Oryctolagus cuniculus: one gene and its partners. The main gene of each other region encodes a partner of the protein of the gene in region 3 in a complex. Links are inferred from orthologs where the notes say so. Each region holds a gene or a part of one and is shown on either strand. Other genes may lie near its edges.

The links. The genes of interacting proteins can lie anywhere in the genome.
Region 1: KANSL3 (region 3) and KANSL2 share a complex: the UniProt entries of both Homo sapiens proteins name them as parts of the NSL complex. The link is inferred for Oryctolagus cuniculus from reciprocal best matches to the Homo sapiens genes KANSL3 and KANSL2.
Region 2: KANSL3 (region 3) and PHF20 share a complex: the UniProt entries of both Homo sapiens proteins name them as parts of the NSL complex. The link is inferred for Oryctolagus cuniculus from reciprocal best matches to the Homo sapiens genes KANSL3 and PHF20.

The regions. Positions count from the first base shown.
Region 1 is NC_091442.1:52,170,742-52,178,279, forward strand, and holds part of KANSL2 (KAT8 regulatory NSL complex subunit 2), read right to left. Parts: intron 7,204-7,538; coding exon 7,025-7,203; intron 6,618-7,024; coding exon 6,503-6,617; intron 2,440-6,502; coding exon 2,276-2,439; intron 1,712-2,275; coding exon 1,545-1,711; intron 1-1,544. UniProt on the Homo sapiens protein: Non-catalytic component of the NSL histone acetyltransferase complex, a multiprotein complex that mediates histone H4 acetylation at 'Lys-5'- and 'Lys-8' (H4K5ac and H4K8ac) at transcription start sites and promotes transcription initiation.
Region 2 is NC_091442.1:22,324,164-22,331,701, reverse strand, and holds part of PHF20 (PHD finger protein 20), read left to right. Parts: intron 1-2,450; coding exon 2,451-2,549; intron 2,550-3,155; coding exon 3,156-3,320; intron 3,321-3,777; coding exon 3,778-3,956; intron 3,957-7,538. UniProt on the Homo sapiens protein: Methyllysine-binding protein, component of the MOF histone acetyltransferase protein complex.
Region 3 is NC_091433.1:111,110,251-111,117,788, reverse strand, and holds part of KANSL3 (KAT8 regulatory NSL complex subunit 3), read right to left. Parts: intron 5,323-7,538; coding exon 5,259-5,322; intron 4,886-5,258; coding exon 4,685-4,885; intron 4,472-4,684; coding exon 4,315-4,471; intron 2,298-4,314; coding exon 2,220-2,297; intron 947-2,219; coding exon 773-946; intron 354-772; coding exon 269-353; intron 1-268. UniProt on the Homo sapiens protein: Non-catalytic component of the NSL histone acetyltransferase complex, a multiprotein complex that mediates histone H4 acetylation at 'Lys-5'- and 'Lys-8' (H4K5ac and H4K8ac) at transcription start sites and promotes transcription initiation.

The DNA.
Region 1 (7,538 bases), on a different chromosome or scaffold from region 3:
ACACCCCACACTGCAGTGCCCAGGTTTGTATCCCCCACTCTGCTTCCAATTCCAGCTTTCTGCTAATCTGCACCCTGGGAGGTAGCAGGTGATGGCTTAAGTGTTTAGGTCCCCCAAGCCCACATGGGAGATTCAGAAAGAGGTTTGGGCTCTTGGCTTCGGCCTTACCCAGCCCAGGCTGTTCAAACCATTTGGAGAGTGAACACCAGCAGATGGGAGATATCTGTCTTGCAAATAAAATCAAAAATAAAATTTTTTTAAAAAATAACAAATTCAAGAATGATCACGGGCCAGCGCCGCAGCTCACTAGGCTAATCCTCTGCCTGCGATGCCAGCATCCCAGGTTCTAGTCCCAGTTGGGGCGCCGGATTCTGTCCCGGTTGCTCCTCTTCCAGTCTAGCTCTCTGCTGTGGCCTGGGAAGGCAGTGGAGGATGGCCCAAGTGCTTGGGCCCTGCACCCGCATGGGAGACCAGGAGGAAGCACCTGGCTCCTGGTTTCAGATTGGTGCAGCACACCAGCTGTAGCGGCCATTTGGGGCTGAACCAACAGAAGGAAGACCTTTCTCTCTGTCTCTCTCTGTCTATAACTCTCTCTCTCTCTCACTGTGTAACTCTGCCTGGCAAAAAGAAAAAAAAAATGATCATGGGCCCAGCACTGTAGCACATCTACCCGCTGTAGCACAGTGGGTAAAACTGCCCCATTCAGTGCCAGCATCCCATATGAGCACCAGTTTGAGTCCCAGCTGCTCCACTTCCAATTCAGCTCCCTGCTAATGCACCTGGGAAAGCAGAAGATGGCTCAAGTCCTTGGGCCCCTGCACCCACATGGGAGACCTGGAAGAAGCTCCTGGCTCTTGACTTTGGACTGGCTCAGCTCCGGCCATTGCAGCTATTTGGGGAGTGAACGAATGGATGGAAGACCTGTCTTCTCTTTCTCTAACTCTGGTTTTCAAATAAGTAAATAAATCTTAAAAAAAAAAAAAATCACTTCTTATAAACCTAACTTCCTTACATTCAACTGCTTCTGTTCTATTTTCCCACTCTTTATAACAAGATTGTCAAGCAAGTTAGGCTTAACCTATGCTTACTTCTGAACTGAAGATTAGAGATCTATCCCAAATAATAAATCTGCAGATAAGTTAAGCTATTATGTGATCACAGGAGTAGTCAGAAGGGGACTAAGATTGGAACCCATGTCTCCTGACATCTTGGTTAGGTGCCTTCATTACAATCTAAGTCTAGTGAGTGAGATTACAGAGCCAGGATTGGATATAGTATTTTGACAACACTCCAAACTTCATAAATAAAGGGGCTATATATATACCTTAAAGCAGGAATATGGAATACTTGGCCGCTAAATAGCACCCACTAAATCATTTGGTCTGGCCTTGTCAAGGCAACTATATGTGGGACTCAAAATTGAGTAAACCTACAGCAGACTTAATTTTTAACTGGATAATTTTGGATGGCCCACAAATGACGTTATAAATACCAAAATGGCCCTTGACAGAAAAAAAGGTTCCCCCACCCCTACGTAAAATCACCTGTTGAGCGGCCCCATCTGTGGCTAGCATTCTGCGTTCCTTCAGCTGCCTGTGTAGTAACGCTTCGACTCCATAGCGCTGGCGATACCGCCGCAGACATTTTAATCGTTTCAAATTCTCACGTTCTTTGGCCAAAAGTCCCTCTGGGCCAGTCAGGAGACTACCACCTGGGAAGTCCCAAGAGTCAAGATGTTATTTGCCAAGCAATCCACAAAGGATATGTCTGCTAATCAACAAGAAAAGAGGAAAATCTTGGGACCAGTGCTGTGGCACTGCTATCTGCAGTCCATATGGGCACCAGCATGAGTGCCAGCTGTTCCACTTCTGATCCAGCTCGCTGCTGATGTGCCTGGGAAAGTAGCAGAGGATGAAGCAAGTGCTTGGGCCCCTGCACCCATGTGGGAGACCAGGAAGAAGCTCCTGGCTCCTGGTTTTGGCTTGACCCAGCCCTGGTCATTGCAGCCATCTGGGGAGTCAAACAGCAGACAAAAGATCTTTCTCCCTCTCTCTGTAATCTTTCAAACAATAAATAAATCTCTTTAAAAAAAAAAAAAGAGAGAGAGAGAGAAAGAGAGAGAGAGAGAGAGAGAGAGAGAGAGAAATGGCTATAAGATAAGCAATCCCAAAAGCAAATTCTCCCCCACTGCAGGTACTAAGACAGAAATAAATCTAATTACTACCAAATCCAAATGCTGAATCCACAACATCTGTGGTACTGGCATAAGACTTGCCTAGGGCTTCATGTTCCACTTTGCGGTTATGTAAGTACCGGCGCTTCTTCTCCTTCAGCAGATGCTGAAGTCGTTTAAACTGGTCGATGTACAAAGACTGCAAACGAATCAGCTTCTCGCGCATAATCAGGGCCACTTCTTCAGCTGTGTAGACACCAGCATGTCTGGAATAAAACAGAGATTCCAGCAAAGCATAAGAAAACATTGTAATAAAAACCTAAGCTTAGGAGCCAGCATTATAGCACATCAGGTTAAGCTGCTGCTTGTAACCCCAGCATTCTGTATCAGAGTACCAAGTCAAATCCCAACTGCTCAGCTCCCAACCCAGCACCTTACTATTGTGCATGGGGGCTGAGAATGGCCCAAATATTTGGCCCTGCCACTCACATGGGAGTTCATGCCTCCTGGTGTTCATCTGGCCCAGCCCTGGTTGTTACAGCCATTTGGGGGAGTGAACCAGTGGATAGAAGATCTCCTACCCACTTCTCTTTCAAAAAATAAATAAATAAATAAATCTTTAGAAATAATCAAAAAAGTGAAGGCGTGAATCCATGGTTGCAGTGCTTTAACCATTTAAAATAGAATAATCTCTAACAAGTCAGGACATCTTAAAGTGTAGACTGAACGTCTACATACGCATCAGTATACTTTAATTAAAGTATAAAAGATACCAATAACAAATGATTGGAACTTCTGATTTTTCAGAAAGCCTATCAGACAGGGCCGGCGCTGTAGCATAATAGGTTAAACCTCTGCCCGCAGCACCATCAATCCATATGGGTGCCAGTTCGAGTCCCAGCTGCTCCACTTCCAATCCAGCTCTCTGCTGTGGCCTGGGAAAGCAGAAGATGGCCCAAGTGCTTAGGCCCCTGCAGCCTCATGGGAGACACAGAAGAAGCTCCTGGCTCCGGACTGACTCAGCTCCAGCCATCACAGCCATTTGGGGAGTGAACCAGCAGATGGAAGACCTTTCTCCCTGTCTCTCCCGGCCTCTCCCTCTCTCTGTAGCTCTACCTCTCAAATAAATAAAATCTTTAAAAAAAAAAAAAAAAAGCATATAAGATACTTGAGCTATCACAGACCCCTAACCAACAATCAAAATGGCCTACAAACTACTCAGCAGTTTCTTGACAGTATCCCAAGTCAATCCTTAATAGCCAAATCCACAAAGGTCCATATCAACTTTAAACTTTGCTGCCAATTATAAACAGAACTTCAAAGCATGCCAGTAACTGATGCATTGAAAACTATGTCCTATTTCTGATTTTTAAACCTCAAAATTAAAAGATTAACTTCAAATTTTAAAGGTCTTAGGTTAACCAAGTCTTATCAGGCCATTACACTAACAGAAAACTTAAGTTCAATATACACCATACCTTAATACTAAGTTTCATATTTTCAGAGAAAACATTTCCTTTATTCAAAATTTGGTAATACAAAAAAATCACATACCTAATTAATTTTAAGTTAAAAAATTATGTTCTCTTAAAAAATAGCTGTTAAGTCACCAGAATACACAAAGCAAAATTAACTTTAGGACTGAAATCAAGTTTCTGCCAAAATAATTTTTATAAACGGGAGGGGGCCGGTGTTGTGGTACAGCAAATTAAGACTACTTACAATGCTGGCACTCCATACTGGAGTGCCAGTTCAAGTTTGAGTCCCAGCTGCTCTGCTTCCAATCTAGCTCCCTGCCAATGCACCGGGGAGAGCAGTGGAAGACAACCCAAGTACTTGGGCCTCTTCTACCCAACATGGGAGATGAGAACTAGATGGAGATCCAGGTTCCTGGCTTTAGCCTGGGCCAGCCCCAGCCATTTCAGCCATTTGGGGAGTGAACCAGTGGATGTAAAACCTGTTTGTTCCTCTAACTGTGCCTTTCATATAAACAAAATCTGTACAAAAGGGGGCAGGGGGGGCGGCACAGTGGCATAGCAGGTAAAGCCGCCGTCTGTAGCGCCGTCATCTCACATGGGCACCGGTTTGAGTCCCGGCTGCTCCACCTCTGATCCAGCTCTCTGCTATGGCCTGGGAAAGCAGTGGAAGATGGTCCAAGTCCTTGGGCCCCTGCACCTGCGTGGGAGACCCAGAAGAAGCTCCCGGCCTCAGATCGGTGCAGCTCCAGCCGTTGTGGCCATCTGGGGAGTGAACCAGCAGATGCCAAGACCTCTTTTTCTCTCTCTGCCTCTGCCTCTCTGTAACTCTGCCTTTCAAATAAATAAATCTTTTTTAAAATGTCCAAGGAAGAAAGGAATCAAGAACACATAAAGAAAATAAAAAGTACTTCATTAAATGAACACACTACTAATAAGCTAATAATGTCAACATATTAATTTATAACATTTAACAACTCGATGTACATCCCAAAATTGCATGTATTTAGTGGATCAAATTCTTTTTGGACAACCTCACTAGGAAAATTAAGCAGAGTCTATATAATTTAGTTGCCTAACAGTTAAGAATATTTGGAGCTTTATTTTCCCTTTTGAGTGTCTTTCTTCTTTGAGACTGCTATCAATTACCTTAGTCCTTTTGGCATTTTTACTTCTCATAAAATTGACTGATATTCTGGATTATACAGCAGTCTCTTGTGAATTAATGTATAAGAATGTGTCCCCTAGAGACTAAACCACTCTCCTGACAAAATCAAATTTCTGGACCTTCAAAGCTTAGTTTATTTACTGCATCAAAGGTCAGGCATTTTCTGACTGCACAGAGCACACACATCTGTAAAGCAAGTCTGGCCGCCCAGAATAACAACGGGGGCAAAAACATGTTCTATCTAATTACTACTGTGAAAGAATCCTGCTAGGAAACATTCTCTTTCAAACAACTTAGATGGACTTTCTAAACTAGTACTTCCTGAATAGCTGACTACCCTAAGATTACTCAACAGAAATGAAAGAAATCATTCTACTCAGAAAATGTCACCAGGGGCAACACTGTGACGCAGCAAGTTAAGCCACCACTTAAAATGCCATCATCCCGTATCACAGTGCCAGGATAAGTTCTAGCTACTTCCCATCCAGCTCCCTGCTAATGGCCTGGGAGGGCAGCAGAAGATGGCCCAAGTGCTTGGGCCTTGGCCACTCACATGGGAGACCCAGATGGAGTTTCTGAGCTCCTGACTGTTGCAGTCATCTCTCTCTTGACCTGCCTGCCAAATAAATACATATTTTTTAAACAGGAAAGAAAATGGGGCTGCTGCTGCAGTATAGCAGGTTAAGCCTCTGCCTGCAATGCCAGCATTCAATCTGGGTGCTGGTTCAAGACCCAGCTGCTTCACTTTCCATCCAGCTCCCTGCTAATGCACTTGGGAAAGCAGCAGAAGATGGCCCCAGTGCTTGGGTTCCTGCACCCACATGCAAGACCCAGAAGAAGCTCCTGGCTTCCGTCTAGCCCAGCCCCTGTCGTTGAGGCCATTTAGGGAATGAATCAGCAGATGGAAAATTGTGCTTCTCTCTCTTTCTCTCCCTCTCTGCCTTTCAAATAATATCTTAAAAAAAAAAAAAAAAAAAGAAAAAGAAAAAATGTAAGCTGGGTCAGGGGTTTGGCACAGCGGTTAAGACGGCCACATCCCATATTAGAGTGCCTGGGTTCAATTCCTGGCTTCACTGTGTCCAGCTTCCCCTGAGAGGCAGCAGGTGACAGCTTAAGTATTACTTGGGTCCCTGCCATCCTCCTGGGACTCCCAGATCAAGTTCCTGGCTCCCAGCTTCAGTCTGGCCCAGCCTCAGCTGTTGCAAACATTTGGGGATTAAGCCAGGCAGGGAGATCTCAGTCTCTTTGTCTTCCAAATAAAATTTTTTAAAAATCCATAAACACAGAGTTTTACAAAATAAGTAGTTATTACTCCAGTAGAATCACCTCATTATTCCTGAGGTTTAGGCCAAAAATCTGTTCACACCCATCTTCTCTTCTCTAATCCACACTAAGAATTTCTCAACCCACCACCCACTCTCATGAAATTTCCTCTTTTCTCCCCTCTTTTCTTATGTACAGAATCTAGTGTTCAAATTTTTTTCTAAATTACAAGACTTCTAAAAATGAATTTCATCCTGCCTTGAAGCAAGATGGTGATGAACCACGATATGCGAAGCTATCACTGCTCACAACAGCCATCTTGCCCCCCTCCTAAGGTTATTAATGAATTAACAGCATGCAGCACTACATTCCACATACTAACTAGATAAAACATTCAAAAGCTTTTGTGGAGTTACAACTTACTTTAGGGGATCTTCTTGATCACTGTCTATGCTATCAGCTTCACTGTCAGGGTCACCTCTCCATGTCTGATCCACAGTAATGGGTTCCTGCTCCCCATCACTCCAGCTGTCTTCATCTGAGGCAAGGGAGGGAGAGCAGCCATAAGACTTCCCACCTCTGTAACTCCACCACACAAAACTAGGTTACTTAACATATCAACTCAATACACAGGCACTGGCAAATAAAAACACAAGTATAGAGTGCTGATAAGATTATTTACAACTCAAGAGGTCCAAAAAAGTCAACTTAAAAAATTATTATTCTTTCCTGAAATAACCTAGCAAAGTGCTGAGCATAAAAACAGCAATGAAGGAAGAGTCACCAGCTCAGGAAAACAAACCAAAAGCAACACTATTTCAGATTTGAAAGAGTTGGTGAACATAGCAATCCTGGAATTCTCACCAGATTCCCAATAAATTAACAATACTGCCAGCACATTCAAGGCACTACCTTCCCTTTTCCACTACAGGGAAAGGCCCTTACCCAGGATGCGGCTGGCTTCACTGCGGCTACTTTCTGGAGTCTGGGAGCCCAGCTCCGACTTGGCATATGAGCTCAGCTGGCACAGGAGTGTTTCACCCACAGGCCCTGGGTTGGTCTTCTTCATCTGAGCATGAAGCGCCAGGGCATTCCTGCGGGCATGTTCCGCACAGAAGGACACCCTAAGGAGACAAAATACCAGTATTTCACCATAGTCCTTGATCCTCAAAGCATTTTTAAGCAATTCAAAGGACTATTTTATTCACTTCAAAAAGCCAATGAGTCAGAGGAATTTAACTGGCCCGAGATCAACTTAATTGTATTAAAGGAAAATGCAGATAACATAACCCAGCATTCCAACCAGCAAACAAAACATTCCAACTATAAAAATGTTGACATCATCTAGAAACAAATCAAAGAGATTCACTTTTCATCTTTCAATACTGGTTCCGGAAGGCACATTTTAATGCCAATCCACTGCAGGTTAATAAGATGTAACACACAGTTTTAAATTAGA
Region 2 (7,538 bases), on a different chromosome or scaffold from region 3:
TATTCATTAGAAATACAATGTATTTTTAAAATATGAAAAGAAGTAGGGGAAACATTTTATATTTTAACTTGCTCCAAAATACAGTCAATAATGGACCCCAAATGTGACAGTAATCCCTTCTGATTACATTGCCTCCTGACATTGTAACTTTCTTAGTTTGTGAAGTACACTCTACAGTGTTTGCTCACTGGCAAAATTGTCTAACAGTGTGCTTCTCAGAATGCATTCCCAGTGTTAGACCAAGTGGGGCTATGGTACTGTCTCAGCATGCAGTCAGTATGAAAACTGCCAGTGTGTTGTTTTACACCTTTATTTATTTATTTATTTATTTATTTATTTATTTATTTTGACCGGCAGAGTTAGATAGAGAGAGAGAGAGAGAGAGAAAGGTCTTCCTTCCATTGGTTCACCCCTCAAGTGGCTACTATGGCCGGCGCGCTGCGCTGATCCGAAGCCAGGAGCCAGGTGCTTCCTCTTGGTCTCCCATGTGGGTGCAGGGTCCAAGCACTTGGGCCATCCTCCACTACACTCCTGGGCCACAGCAGAGAGCTGGCCTGGAAGAGGGGCAACCGGGACAGAACCAGCGCCCCAACTGGGACTAGAACCCGGTGTGCCGGTGCTGCAGGCAGAGGGTTAGCCTATTGAGCTGCGGCGCCAGCCTGTTTTACACCCTTTCTACTGAATCTTTTAAATCCTTAATGAACATCTCTGGTCAGGCTGGCCACATTTCAGGTTCTCAGCATCTGTGTGTGGCTACTGACCACTGAATGTATTGGACCACGCAGTTGAGGTCCACACAACTATGTTACCTCAGCTGCTTTTCCCAGGCTCTAAATTAGAAGTGGATCACCCAGGACTCAAACCAGTGCCCAAGTGGGATGCCAGCTTCATAGGTGGTAGCTTTACCTGCTATGCCACAATGTTGACCCCTGCTTTTTTTTTTTATCCCTGTTTTTACAAAATCTATTTATTTATTGGAAAGGCAGAGTGGCTGAAAGAGGAGAGTGTGCACGCGATGGCGCTTCATCCCGTGGTTCAGCCCCCAGATGCCTACAGCTGCTAGGGTTGGGCCAGGCCAAAGCCAAGAGCTAGGAACTGCATCTGGGGGTCCCTGGGTCATCACCTGCTGGCTTCGCAGGTGCATTGGCAGCTAGTTGGATGGGAAGCAGAGTAGCTGGGATGTGAACCAGCACTGTGATATGAGTTGCCAAAGTCCCAAACAGCAGGTTAACCTGTTGTGTCACAGCACCCACCCCTGCTTTCTGTTCCTGAGATTAGTTGTCATTTTCTAGGACATTTTATAGATAGAATCATGTAGAATGCACTAGTTTTGTCTGGCTGCTTTCACTCAGCCGACTTAAGAGATTCCCTTATGTTCCTGTATCTATTGATGGGTATATTCTTCCCCAGTTAATGCACATTTGGGCAATTTTCAGTTTGGAGTAATGACACGTGAAGCTGCTATGTCAGTCCCTATGTAGATATATGTTAAGCTCTCTCCTGGGTAGATCTCTCCAAGTGGAATGGCTAGGTCATAGGATATTCGTATGCTCAAACTCTTGTTGAAATCTAATAAGTGACATGTGATGAATTACTTGAAATGCCACAGTTGTGTTTGATGACATGGAGGAGAAACAGCTAGATTTGTTAATAGGGAATCTACTAAATTTGAACACTTGTCTCAGAGTAATAGGTGAGAGCTTTGTAGAATGGAATTAGGAAAAGTCAAAGGGAGAACTTTGGACAGGGAATATTGATAACTTAAAGAGTTTTGCTCTAAGGAGTAGAGAAATTGATGTCGTATTTGGAAGATGTGAACTGTTCACATGAAAATGATTAATTTTATGTTCTATGAATTATGCCTCAATTAAAAAAATGAAAAAATTTTGAGGTCTGTGCCACATCCCAAGCCAATTAAGTCAACATCTCTGAGAGGGGGCCCTGACATTCAGGTGGTTTTGTTTTGTTTTTGTTTGTTAAGATTTTATTTATGTATTTGAGGGGTAGAGTTCAGACAGAGGGAGAGACAGAGAGAAGGTCTTCCATCCACTGGTTTGTTCCCCAGACAGCCTCAATGACCGGAACTGAGCCAGTGCAAAGCCAGGAGCTTCTTCTGGGTCTCCCACATTGGTGCAGAGGCCTGGCCCAGCCTGTGCTGTTGTAGATATTTGAGAAGTGAACCAATGAATAGTTCTCCATCTGACTGTTTCTGCCTTTCAGATAATATAAAAAATAAAGTGAATAAAAAAAAGGCTAAGTGATGGAGGAATGGCTCTGCCCCAGGCAGCCATCTCAGGAGCCCTCCAGGGGAAGGAAGGCGACTTCTCAGGCAGAGCCAGGCCAAGAACCAGCTACCCTGCCTGTGCCAGTTCTTCCCGTTGGATGTGTTTCATCCAGCATTAAAGACAAAACATTAAAATGTCAGCACTTAAACTCATGTTTAATTCTAGCTGCAAAAGACAAGGAAAAGAATAAAGAGAAGAAGTTCAAAGAGTTTGTGAGAGTGAAGCCAAAGAAGAAGAAGAAAAAGAAAAAGAAAGTCAAACCTGGTAACTCTTCCCTTGAGGGTTTTGCCTGGGGGCTTCCTCACCATGGGGGCGGGTGCTGTCTCCTGTGGTGGCCTCTGAGGCTGCTCTGGGGAGAAGCAGGACCAGCAGGCCTGTCCCAGGACTTGCGTGGGCCCTGCGAGGAGGTGCCGCCTGGCATTTATGGAAGCCTCCCACTTTCTGTGCTGGCCAGCATGCTCTGGTGCGGTGCTGTCAACACAAAGACATCCAAGTACTAGAGGATGTGCAGATGAGTGACTGCACTTCATTCATAGCTCTTAAACATCCGTCTACACCCATCTGAACCCTTTCTAGAAAGGATTTGCTCCTTGAAAAGTGTGTGTCTAGCCCCCAAAGAGATGTGCAAGAAAATCTCTTCCACCCTTGAGAGTTAAAGGGATGCCATATTTTGTTCTCAGTGTGTGTTTTCTGGCTTACAAAAAGGGGACACGGGGTAATAGTGAAAAGGAAGCAGTTGGGATTGAGATGCTCAAGGGTAGCTGCAAATCTAAATCCCTGGAACAGGCCCTGTTGGTTGGGAGAGATCGACTCTGTGTTGCCCTGGTGATATCTGCAGTTGCTCATTCCTTCCTGACGCTGTGCTTCCAGAATGCCCCTGCAGTGAGGAGATCAGTGACACCTCCCAGGATCCTTCTCCACCCAAGGCGTTTGCTGTCACCAGGTGCGGGTCCTCACACAAGCCTGGCGTCCACATGAGCCCTCAGCTTCACAGCTCAGAGTCTGGAAACCACAAAGGGAAAGTGAAAGCATCTGGTAAGGAGGCTCTGATTGTGTTGCGGATCCTTGGCTTAGACCACTGTCTGCCGCAGCAGGTGTGACGTTAACTGTTCGGGCATTGTACTGGTTCTGATTCTTTCTGCAGTCTTCCCCTGTCTCCTTCCCCACTGTGTGCAGAACTTTACCAGTATCTCTTGACGAAGGCCAACTGGGAGCCAGGGCCTGACAGGGTGGGGTGGGAGTCGTGCGTCCTCTGACAATGAACGGCTACTAGCGCGGGCTCCGTTCTCTCAGTGTGATGAGGATACAGAGCGCAGTGTGGTGCCACCACGCAGCATGCTTTTGGAGGGGGGGGGGGGGGGGGCTGTTACGAGAGGACAGGCCTAAGGAACAAAGGTCCCCATTTCCCAGCCCGTGAAAGCTCATGGAGCTTTACTTTAAATGGTGCAACTGTAATGTACAGTAATGCCTGTTGTTTTCCTTTTCCTCCCAGAGGAGGATAATCTGAGTGAGTCGTCTTCTGAGAGCTTTCTTTGGAGTGATGAGGAGTACGGCCAGGATGTCGATGTGACCACCAACCCGGACGAGGAGCTTGATGGGGATGACCACTATGATTTTGAAGTGGTCCGCTGCATCTGTGAAGTCCAGGAAGAGAATGACTTCATGATTCAGGTAGGTAGCGCTCCCAGGAACAGGTCCCTAGGGGGAGTTCAGCCCCGCAGCAGTGACGAGTCACCTCAGAAGCCCCAGGGAGAGTATGAACAGCAGCAGACTGCGCTTTGTTTCTCCTTTCGGCTCCTCGGGATCCCAGGCTGCCCTTAAATAGCCCATAATAGAGTGAAAGAGGACCTGGGGAATCCTTGAACCTAACCTTGGGCTCTGTGTGAGCCGGGTGGGACCTGCAGTGGGAAGGACCTTGCCTCTCTTCACACCGTGAGGAGGGGAGCAGCAGGCACTCACCTTTGGGAGTGGCCCAAGCCTCTGTACAGCCTGTGGAAATGGAGGCTGGTTTTTTAACATAGTTTCTTGCTCTATGTTTTCCTGACATGCGTGTCTGTCATCTCTAAATCTGGGAGGAGCCTTTGGAGTGAGTTTGCCCTACCTGCTTGGTGAGACCCTCCCTGGCTAGCACCTGCTGGCCTCTGGCCCCTCTTTTCCTGTTCATTGCAGCTGTTCTTCATCTGGTTGCCTCCAAGGGCTGTTGTAAATACCCCAGGAATTCCTGACAGTTCCCTGGCTGGCCAGGGAATCTGAGTGTTTTTTTTTTTTTTTTTTTTTTTTTTTTTTTTTTTTTTTTTTTTTAAGTAAGTCATGGTTCAATTAGTTAGGATTCTTTTGGGGTGAATATAAGTATTGCTGGGAAAATAGCCTGGGACTTGGAACCCGGAGAAAGCTGCCAGGCTCAGGAACCTGGAATTCTGTCTTGCGGTCAGTCCACTTTGTCTCCTGCTTCTCCCCACAGCTGATTTCATTCTTTTTCTTTTTGCTACTTGGCTTATTTTCTTGTAAAATGATCATTCATGACCCCTTCCCCTCTCACCAGTTTTACATTTTTGTGTTTATGGGACAACTTACGTCAAGTGAGGTTGTGATCTCAACCCCAATCCTGAATTCCTGGGTAAGGTGTAGGTTAGATAATAGCCTTAGACCAGAGTGGGAAGAGGTTGGTCCTGGGCCAAATGCTTCCCCCTGGGTTAGTCGTCTGATCTGTTGGTGGATGATAGAGTTTGGAAGTGTGGGCAGCCTTGTGTTGTATAACAATGCTGCCTGGGGCCTGCCTCTGTTACTGTGTGCATGGAAGTAGGGGTTGGAATGGCTACCCCCTTGACCCAGTCTGTTAAGATTATGAGAAAAACACCTCAGCCCTTGGCTTGCTTTCTGTGTTAGAATGTTATTTCCTTGTCCTGCAGTGCTGTGGACATCAATTTTGGAGGTTCACCTATGGGTCTTGATCTAATGCACACTTGCATTTTTGCCTCTTTATCTTTCCATTTGTCTTTTGTATTCAGCAATCCCCTCTGCTTTGGGGGCTTTACCTTTGTTCTTCAAATCTTTGGAGAAATCAGAGAGTGACTAGGTACACTTGCTTTTTCACTTTTTATTTTCCTAGTGCTTTTTAAAAATTTTTACTTTGAAATAATTAGATTCATAGGATGTTGGGAAGAAACATACAGGAAACCCATGCACTCCTCCTCCACACGCCCTCCTGTGCCAACAGCACACACAAACCACAGCCCAGTGCCAAAACCAGGAAATTGACATCGGCACAATTAACAGAGCTTATTCAGAGTTCGCCAGTTAAATACATGTACTGTGCACATTTGCATGTGCAAGTGGCTGTGTAGCCTTTTGTAGTCATTACCACAGTCAAGATACTCAGCTGCTCTGTCAGCACAAAACTCCTTCATGTTACCCCTCGTTAGCCAGCCATTCGGTCCTTTTTTCCCTTACCTCTAAGCCCTGGAAACTACTAACCTGTTTTACATCTCTCTTATTATGTAATTGTACGACTGTTGATGGATGGAGTTATGTGGAATGTATCTTTTCAGTGTAATTTTCTTGAGATTGATCCATGGCGTATGCATCAATAGTTGACTTCTTTTTATGGTCCGGTGGTGTTCCTTGGCATGCATGTAGCTTAGTAATGTTCTCTCTCTCTCTCTCTTTTTTTAAGATTGACTTATTTATATTTGAAGGGCAGAAAGAGCATGAGAGAGATCTTCCACCCACTAGTTCACTGCTCAAAGAGCTGGAATGGCTGGGGCTGGGCCAGGCCGAAGCCAGGAGCTAGGAGTTTCTTTCTGGTCTCCCTCATGGATCAGGGGCTCAAGGACTTGGGCCATCTGCTGCTGCTCTCCCAGGCGCACCAGCAGGGAGTTAGATTGGAAGTAAAGCAGCCAGGACTGGAACTGGTACCACTATGGGATGCCAGCATTGCAGGTGGAGGCCTGGCCTTCTATGCCACAGTGCCGGCCCCAGTAATGTTCTTTGTGTTCATTGTAGTGACACTAAATAATGGTTTAACATTTCTGGAATATTTTCAAAAATACCATTTTACCTCTAGCCAGGCTGTTGCAAGTCTTTGGGAAAAATTGGATAAACTAAATTATGAAGATGCATTTTGCTCATGGTTGGAGAACCATTAAATATAGAACCATTAAATGAATTATCAGGTTATTTGAACCCAGGATACCCAGTCAGATGTTCTGTCCCTAGTTATGGGGATTTACATTTATAATTGAGAAATGAGACAAAAAATTGTTTTTGAAATATAACAGCACTGTCTAAGCTAGCAGACTCACCTTTCCTTACCAGTGTGCAGGCACAGGAGCCCACACATGGACAGTCTCACTCACACACACACACACACACACACGCGCACACGCTCTCTTTCTCTCTCTCTGAGACACACACACACACACACACACACACACACACACATTCTCTCTCTGTCTGTCTGTCTCTGTCTTTCTCTCACACTTTTTGGGTTTAGGGAGTGTCTTTCTTTTTTTAGGAGCCTACATATTAACCTCTGGGACTCAAGGGTGCATGGAAGGTCTCCTTGATCACCTGACCTTTCTGGTTTTCAGAATACCTTGGTTCAGTGGTTTCCAAACTTTCTCAGCATCAGAAGCCCTTTCCCAACAGACTCTGTCACAGAAGCCCAAAATGTCTAACAAGTAAAACAGAGGTTTCAGAAGTTCGGTGTGGATAATCTTCATGTTTCAGGTCAGGAATGTAGGTGGCAGGCAGGTTCCCCTGAGGTCTGAGAGGCAGAGTGTGAGTGATAGTGGCTGACTTGGAGCATTTTTGGTGACTCATTTCTTTTTCTCTGGCTGTACGGCAGTGACACGAATGTGATGCACATGACTTTTGTCAGGGGGACTCCTCCTAAACAGCGTGCAGTGTAGTCCTGTCGATTCATCAGAGATGGGAGGAAAGGCTTAGTCCTAGGACAGCATCATGCTGAGCCAGCCTAGCAGTGCAAAACTGTGTATGGATGGGCTCTGTAGCCTTAACATTTGGCCTGAAACCTGAGTATGCATTTTTGTTGTCCCTCCGAAGCTCTGTGGATAACAATTTGAAAATTGTTTCATAATGTGAAGACATAAATTTTAAGTGGAGTTTTTTAATAAAGTTTATTTTATAGAGGATGTTGATGGTCTTTGGTTACTACCCTGTTTTTCTGGGTGTGTGCTCAGTTCTGGTCCCTGATAGCCTGATGGTATTTGGCCCTCAGCTGTCCCTAGGAGT
Region 3 (7,538 bases):
ACAAAGCTTTAACTAGATCCAAGCTTTGTCCCACCTCCTGAACCCAGCCTCTAGTCGTCCTCAAAGTCAGGCCTAGAGTAAAGACTTTAGGACGAGAGCCAAGAGAACTCAGAGCTGATCCAAAAGAAAGACAAAAACCACAAAAAGAAAGAAGGTACATTTCCACAAATGACACAATCCAGGAGCTATCATCTTTCCACAGTACCATATAATACAGAGGAGTGAAGCTAAGAAGGGAACAGAGACAGCAACCGAGAAACAAACTCACCTGGTTGTGGTGAGGAGTCCGGTGAGCTCCTTGGTCCCTGCTGAAGACTGCCCCAGTGTCATGGTGATGGGTTTCCCTCCTGAAGCTGCAAAGCAGAAAGCCCTGAGACACTACTCAGACCTATTTGGCCCCTACATTTCCAGGTTCCACAGCCCAGGCTAAATACAAGATATTGTGGACAAAGACTTGAAGATGAAAAAAGAGTAACTTTGTTAGAGGAAGAATTAGGGTAACTTCTCCTATTTTCTAACTTTTTTGGAATATTTTATCTCTATTCAAAACAAATATACATATTTACATGCCATGCTCAGAACGACCCCTCGGCACCCTCGGTCCCTGGAAGTCAATGCCCCCTTGCCATTAATGTGCCATTTTTGCTCCAGGTCTCTCTCACACTGAAGCAGAGGCTGAGCTGCCTGCTCCAAGAAGAGCCACCAGGAAGCAACACTTTGTGTCCTGGGAGAGCCAGGTCCACTCGGGTTTAAACAGGCTCGAGAAACTCACCTTCAGCACCTCCTCCTTGGGAAGGAGTGTCCCCTTGGGAAATAAGGGACACCTTGATCTTTGGTCGCTTGGAGGCCTTACTGCCAGGCAGAGGACTGGAGGGGTGGTGTCGCTTCAGCTGGACTCGGAGATCTTCTTTTTCTGCCTCCTCTGTTGGTTCTGATGAAATAGGAACTAAGAGATGGAGCTCAGGTGAGATTCTGCACAGTCCAAGAAAGCCTGGTGGACACTGTTTGTCAAGGTCAGTACGGGAACACACAGGAAGATCAACCCACCCTTAGGCCACATTTCACAAGAGACGACCCGCGTTTCAGTCCACTTCAATGAGGTCTGCCTGAGCTGAAGCCCACCTTGCCCTTCTCAAAGAATGGCCCCATCCCCATCTCTCACTCTGCCTTTGAAGAAAGGAAGGGAAGAGGCCCAGAGTTGGTAGGAACAAGACAGAAGACATCTGTCTAGCAAAAGCCACAGCAAGAATAAAAATGGAGGACTCACTAAAGTATATCTACACAGTGTGATCACTCTCCTGTCCCAAGCCATCCCCCATGTCATCACTCAGCCAGGAGACAATAAACATTCCATGAAGAACCCACAGAGGAGCACCCAGTCCTTTCTAACAGGGAGTTTTCACAAGACTGTGAGGAGTCCCATTCTGTCCTTAGAGCCCGGGCTGAGGGGTGCTTGCCAAAGGGGGCAAGGAGGACAACCTCCAGGACTTCAGGCTGGGGGAGGGAGGCTCAAAGCCCTGGCAGCCTCACAGCTCCTAAAGGTGGTCCTGGGTCATCTGTACAAGTACAGAGAAAGGCTATCTGTTCACACATCATAATGCCCACAGCCCAGCTTCTTGGACTTGCAAGTTATCCTTCAGGAGTCCTCACAAATGTCCTTGGCTTTCAACCCAGAAGTCGCCCAGCCCTTTTTCGCACAGGCAGCCAGGGGTGGAGGTGGGGAGAAAGGCAGCCACACAAGCATGAGGGGGATCCAGGCATGGGGCCATGACCAGGGCACAGGCAGCTACTGTGGAATGGCACTGTGGAGAGGACAAATGTACTCGCTGAATCAGAGCAGAAAGGAACGGGGAGGGCGAAGGAGCCGCAGGTTTCTTCTGCTGAGTGGTTAGTGTGCCTGCAGCTGGCAGGGTGGAAGCATGGAAACAAGCAGGGAGCGAGCACACAGGGAAACTCAGGCTCTCAGGCAATGGGCCACAGGCACACAAAGGTGAAGGAGCTACAGTGAAGGCAAACAAGGAAAACACACAGAAGCAAACAGAGAGAATGGAGATACAAGACAAAGCATCTGTAGACGGGGAAAAGCTCAGAGAAGCAAACAGGAGGAAATCAAACAGATGAGAGAGGCAGATGAGAAGCAGAGACAGGACAGAATCAAGAGGGGTGGGAATAAAGCAGAGAGCAGACGGCGGAAAGGTGAGAGAGAGAGTAATACTCACCAAAGAGACAGGAGGAGGTGCCAGGAGGAAGAGCTTTCCTCACCAGCATATTTTGTTTCAGAAAAGCAGCAAACTGTGCTGGAATGAATCAGAAAGAATTACAGAATCACAGCCGGCCAGAAAAAGGAGAAAGAGAGACAGAATAAGAAAAAGATGAAAAAGTTCCAGAAACTGGTCGCAGGGGCTCTTTCTGTCCCTGCCCGGGTCTGAAACCTGACTCGCTGAGTAGCTCCAAGGAACCATCCATAAACGGAGGTAGCAACATGTGGCTGCTGTCCAGACTCGACAAGCCATGGCAAGCAAGTCCCAAGAAGAGGGCACAGTGAGTTAAGGGCTCCAGTAAGTTAGCTGCTACTAGCCCTTGCTTGCTGCTTTTCACTGGGACGCTGGGGTCCTGCTTCCAATCCAGCTCATCAGTCAGCCTTTCAGAACTCCTTAGATTCCTGACTGATCCTCCCCCAAGATACACAGCAGGCTCTACCTTTACCAAAAGTCTAAGGGGACACTGCCCACTAAACACTCAAGAAAATCCAGTTCACGGAGCATCCATACAGATGTAGGGCACTGGTCTCCTGTTAGCCTTCATTTGTCTACTTACACTTCTGTTCTTTGTTAGCACCACTGTAATGAGCAGCCTCACAAGAGACCTGGGTTTCAGTTGAACTTGAACTCTAAAAGCAGAAGCTGGCAGATCCGCCTCCTACACCACCTCCATATCTGTTCTACAGCCAGCTCCACCTACTTCCTCCTCCCAGGCACTCCTAAGAACTCCAGCAATACATGTTCTTGAATGTACCATCAGAAACTGATGCCCAGGGCAGGTGCTGTGGCATAGTGGGTAAAGCTGCCACTTGCAGGGCCGGCATTGCATATGGGTGCTGATTCGAGTCCAGGCTGCTCCACTTTCAATCTAGCTCCCTGTTAATGCACCTGGGAAAGCAGCAGAAGATGGCCCAAGTCTTTGGGTCCCTGCACCCTCATGGGAAACCAAGAAGCTCCTGGCTTCGGATAGGCCCAGCTCTGGCTGTTGTGGCCATCTGGGGAGTAAACCAGTGGATGGAGGACCAACCTCTCTCTGTCTCTGGCTCTCTGTAACTCTGCCTTTCAAATAAATAAAAAATAAATATTAAAAAAAAAATGATGTTCAAGAGGCCTTGCCGGAAGGCCATTCAACTGGATGAAAGAAGGGGCAGGCAGAAGTCACTGTTTCTTCATTTTCTTACCTACTGAATTCTACCTTTATTTAGTATGTGCAGCTCTTCAAATGAATTCCAACTATACAGATATTATTGCCCCCTCTAAAACCTATCTGCAGAGAACCACTATAAACTTTGCTGACAGTCCCAGCCCAGGAACCTACTTTCTTTTTTTTTTTTTTTGACAGGCAGAGTTAGACAGTGGGAGAGAGAGACAGAGAGAAAGGTCTTCCTTGCGTTGGTTCACCCCACAAATGGCCACCACGGCCGGTGCACCGATCCAAAGCCAAGAGCCAGGTGCTTCCTCCTGGTCTCCCATGCGGGTGCAGGGCCCAAGCACTTGGGCCATCCTCCACTGCACTCCCGGGCCATAGCAGAGAGCTGGACTGGAAGAGGAGCAACTGGGACATAATCTGGCACCCCAACTGGGACTAGAACCCACGGTGCTGGCGCCGCAGGCAGAGGATTAGCCAAGTGAGCCGCGGCACCAGCCGGGAATCTACTTTCTAAGAGCAAGACAAAGAAAGGGCATGACACCAGTTGAGTTGCCTTGGAATTTGATGGATAAAATCAATCATCCTGTTTCGGAGAGCTCCCTGACTGCAAGAGTGATTGGGAGAAAAAAAGAACATCCCCAATTAGTAGTCAGGCCAATATCCATGTAGGCAGCTCACAAAGCTCAACTTCTCCAGAACAACAAGACAGAAAAGCTATGAACTAGCAAGCACAAAGCACTACTAATGCATTAATTCAACCTAACTTTGTCTGGACAGAAACATGGGGGAAAAGTACTTCTTATCCCCCTGAAAAAGCTGCAGATGCCAATGTATTCCAACTGCTACGTGGCATCAACTGCAGAAGACTGAACCCAAGAGCACCACTGAACCAGGAGCCTTTACCTTGGGCTTGTTTGTGGGTCAGCACAGCTTCTGTCCGCTGGACGTGTCTCTTGAGCAGCTGAGAGCTGCCAATCTGACTGGACTTCTGGACAGAGGTGACTGTGGCCACTTTGGTCTTGGGACTGGAGGTGGGGCTGCTGGACACACTGGAGAGATCCTAAGTAGAGAAAAAAGGTCAAGATACAAGCAGATAGTCATTTGGAGTCACACATCAGTCAGCACGTTCCCCTGGAACTCCCCCGACAGGGACGCACAGGCCTACAGCACTGACACGGTAGACAGGCATCTGCAGAAACTAAGGAACCAAGTCCGCAGCTCAGATTCCCCAGCCAAAGTACTCCCTCCCAGCCTCCTCCCTTGCCCACACTACCTCTGAGCCCGAGGGTGAAGCGGGCAGCTTGGCGGCAGGGGAAGCAGGTCGACTGCCCCGCTCGGAGACTTCAAAGGCCAGGTCTCGACGTGTGGCATCACGAGGCTTCTTCTTCTTCTCAGCGTCCTGATCCCGAGGCTCAGAGCCCACGTGCCCCTCAGCGCGAGTGAGCACTCCAGTCAGGAAGTCCACAATTTCATCCTAGTGTAAACCCAGCCTATTACACCTCGTCTGGAGTACAGGAGCCTCCCTGTTTATTTCAAACTAAAATCAACTCCATTTTGGCTTCGGCACCCAGATGTGCTAGTCCTCACTCACGTGAAGCCAGGCCTGTGCTGGCTTTGGGGCAGCCATGGCACTGGGAGGCACTGGGGCACGGTGCACTCTACCACTCCTCCAACACTCCCTTTCTCCCCAGCGCCTCACTCACACCTCAGCTCACCACTCTTCTCCTTCTCTTCTTTCTGCTTTGCGTAGGATTTCTACCTACCAGAGGGCCCAGTTACCCCTCAGCAAAGCTGCTGCCAACAAGGCTAAATCTAAAACACAAGCCTAGCGGAGAAAAGGTGTTTACCTGAATACATCTGTCCACCATGCTCTGAGTCAAACCTTCTGATTTCTTCTTTGCTTTGCTTATTCTAAGAGACAAAAAGGAGTAAACGGGTTCTGTTTTAAACGATCCATGGTAATCCATGGGATTAAGAATGGACTTCCTTTTTGGGTTGGTTATTTCCTAGGCCCAGGAAGAAATGCTAAGGGGGCCCTCAGGCTAAGCTCTGGATCTGTTTGCACATTTGCAAAATGGGGACGGATTAGTCTCTTCATGGCATGATGAACGACCAGTAACAAATATGAAAATCAAGCATGGCACCCTCAACTATCCACCCCAGAAGGCCCATACCTATGGCTTCACTGACAAACAGTACCTGTATCACTGAGGTCCCCAACACAGCCCCCAAACCCCCCGAATACTGCGAATTGCTGAACTGGATTAACAGAGAGGAGGAAAGGTGGCCACAAACTAAAGGGGTAAGAGAAAACGATCCCGGCCGCTGCATTCCCCCTTCGCCAGCTAGTCATAAAATCCCTAGCTTCCCATGAGGGCAGGAAGTTGCTGAGCCTCCTAACTCACATCTGATTTGATTGGCTGTTGGCCTCTGATCTTGTTAACAACTTCATTTTTTTTTTTTTTTTTTTAATTTGACAGGTAGAGCTATAGACAGTGAGAGAGAGAGAGAGAGAGAGAGGTCTTCCTTCTGTTGGCTAACTCCCCAAATGGCTGCCACAGCCGGTACTGTGCCAATCCGAAGCCAGGAGCCAGGTGCTTCTTCCTGGTCTCCCATGCGGGTGCGGGGACCAAAGCACCTAGGCCATCCTCCACTGCCCTCCTAGGCCACAGCAGAGAGCTGGACTGGAAGAGGGGCAGCCGGGACTAGAACCTGGCGCCCATATGGGATGCTGGCACCACAGGCAGAGGATTAACCAAGTGAGCATGGGGCCAGCCCCAACAACCTCATTTTACAGATGAGCACCGTGAGTGGCAGAAGCCAAGCTTCTAAATAAGAGGTCAAGAATAACGAGGCCTCTCAGTCCTCAGCTGTGTTCCCATCACACTGACTCCCTCACAGCAACTCAACACAGTCTACTAAGGGACAGTGTTACATTTTACCTGGGTTCTCACCGCATGGATTACGGTTCCACAGTAGGAACACTATTAAATAGTTTTCAATGGTGTCACATTCCACAGTTAGATAAGAAGGCTTAAATGGCCATGAAAAACAAGGTATTTAAATGAAAACATTTCCTTGAGCTTCAAAAGCCTTGATACTAAATTCTTAAGAAGCTGGCAAATGACAAAAGCTGAACGACTTCTCCAAAACATCCCTAAAAAGACTGACACCTGGGAGCCTGGACTTGCTTTAAGCTCTGTAGTTAGAACATAAACCTAAAACTAATCTAACTGAGTGATAAAAAAGGAGGCTGGAGGTGCCAACCCCAAAGACAGCCCATATTATAGTGCCAGTTCAAGTCTTAGCTACTCTGCTTCCTATCCAGCTCCCTGCTAATGTGCCTGGGAAGGCAGCAGAAGATGGCCCAAGTACTTGGGCCCCTGCCACTCACATGAGAATCCTGGATAAAGTTCCTGGCTCCTGGCTTTGGTCTGGCCTAGACTTGGCTGTTATGGCCATTTGGGGAGTGAATCAGTGTATTTAAGACCTCTCTGTCACTCTGCTTTTCAAAGAAAATAAATAAATGTATTAAATCTTTAAAAACAGAAAGTAAAAAAAGGAAGCCAGAGAAGATTGGTACAGCAGTTTAGCCTGTTTGGGACACTGCACCCCAAATCCTGGCTCCACTTCCGATTCCAGCTTCCTGTTAATGTATACCCTGGGAGGTAGCAGGTAATGGCTCAAGTACTTGGGTTCCTGCCATCCATACAGCAAACCTATGCTGAGTTCTTGGTTCCTGGTTTCTGCCTGGCCCAGTCCCAGATGTTGCAGGCATTTGGGAAATGAGCCAGTAAATGGAGGATTTCTGTCTTTCTGTGCCTTTCATATAAATAAATGAAATCCTTAAAAACTATATATATATATATATAATTTTTTTTAAAGGAGGCCAAATAAATGATCTCTATTTTAGTACATTTTATGAAAATCCAACAACTAGGGGCTGGCACTGTGGGTGCCAGTTCAAGAAACTCCTGGTTCCTGCCTCTGGATCAGCCCAGCTCCAGCTGTTGCAGCCATGTGGGGAGTGAATCAGCGGATGGAAGACACCCCCCACCCCCTCCAACTCCACAAATCCGTCCAGCTCCCTGTTAATGGCCTGGGAAAAGCAGCAGCAGATGGCCCAG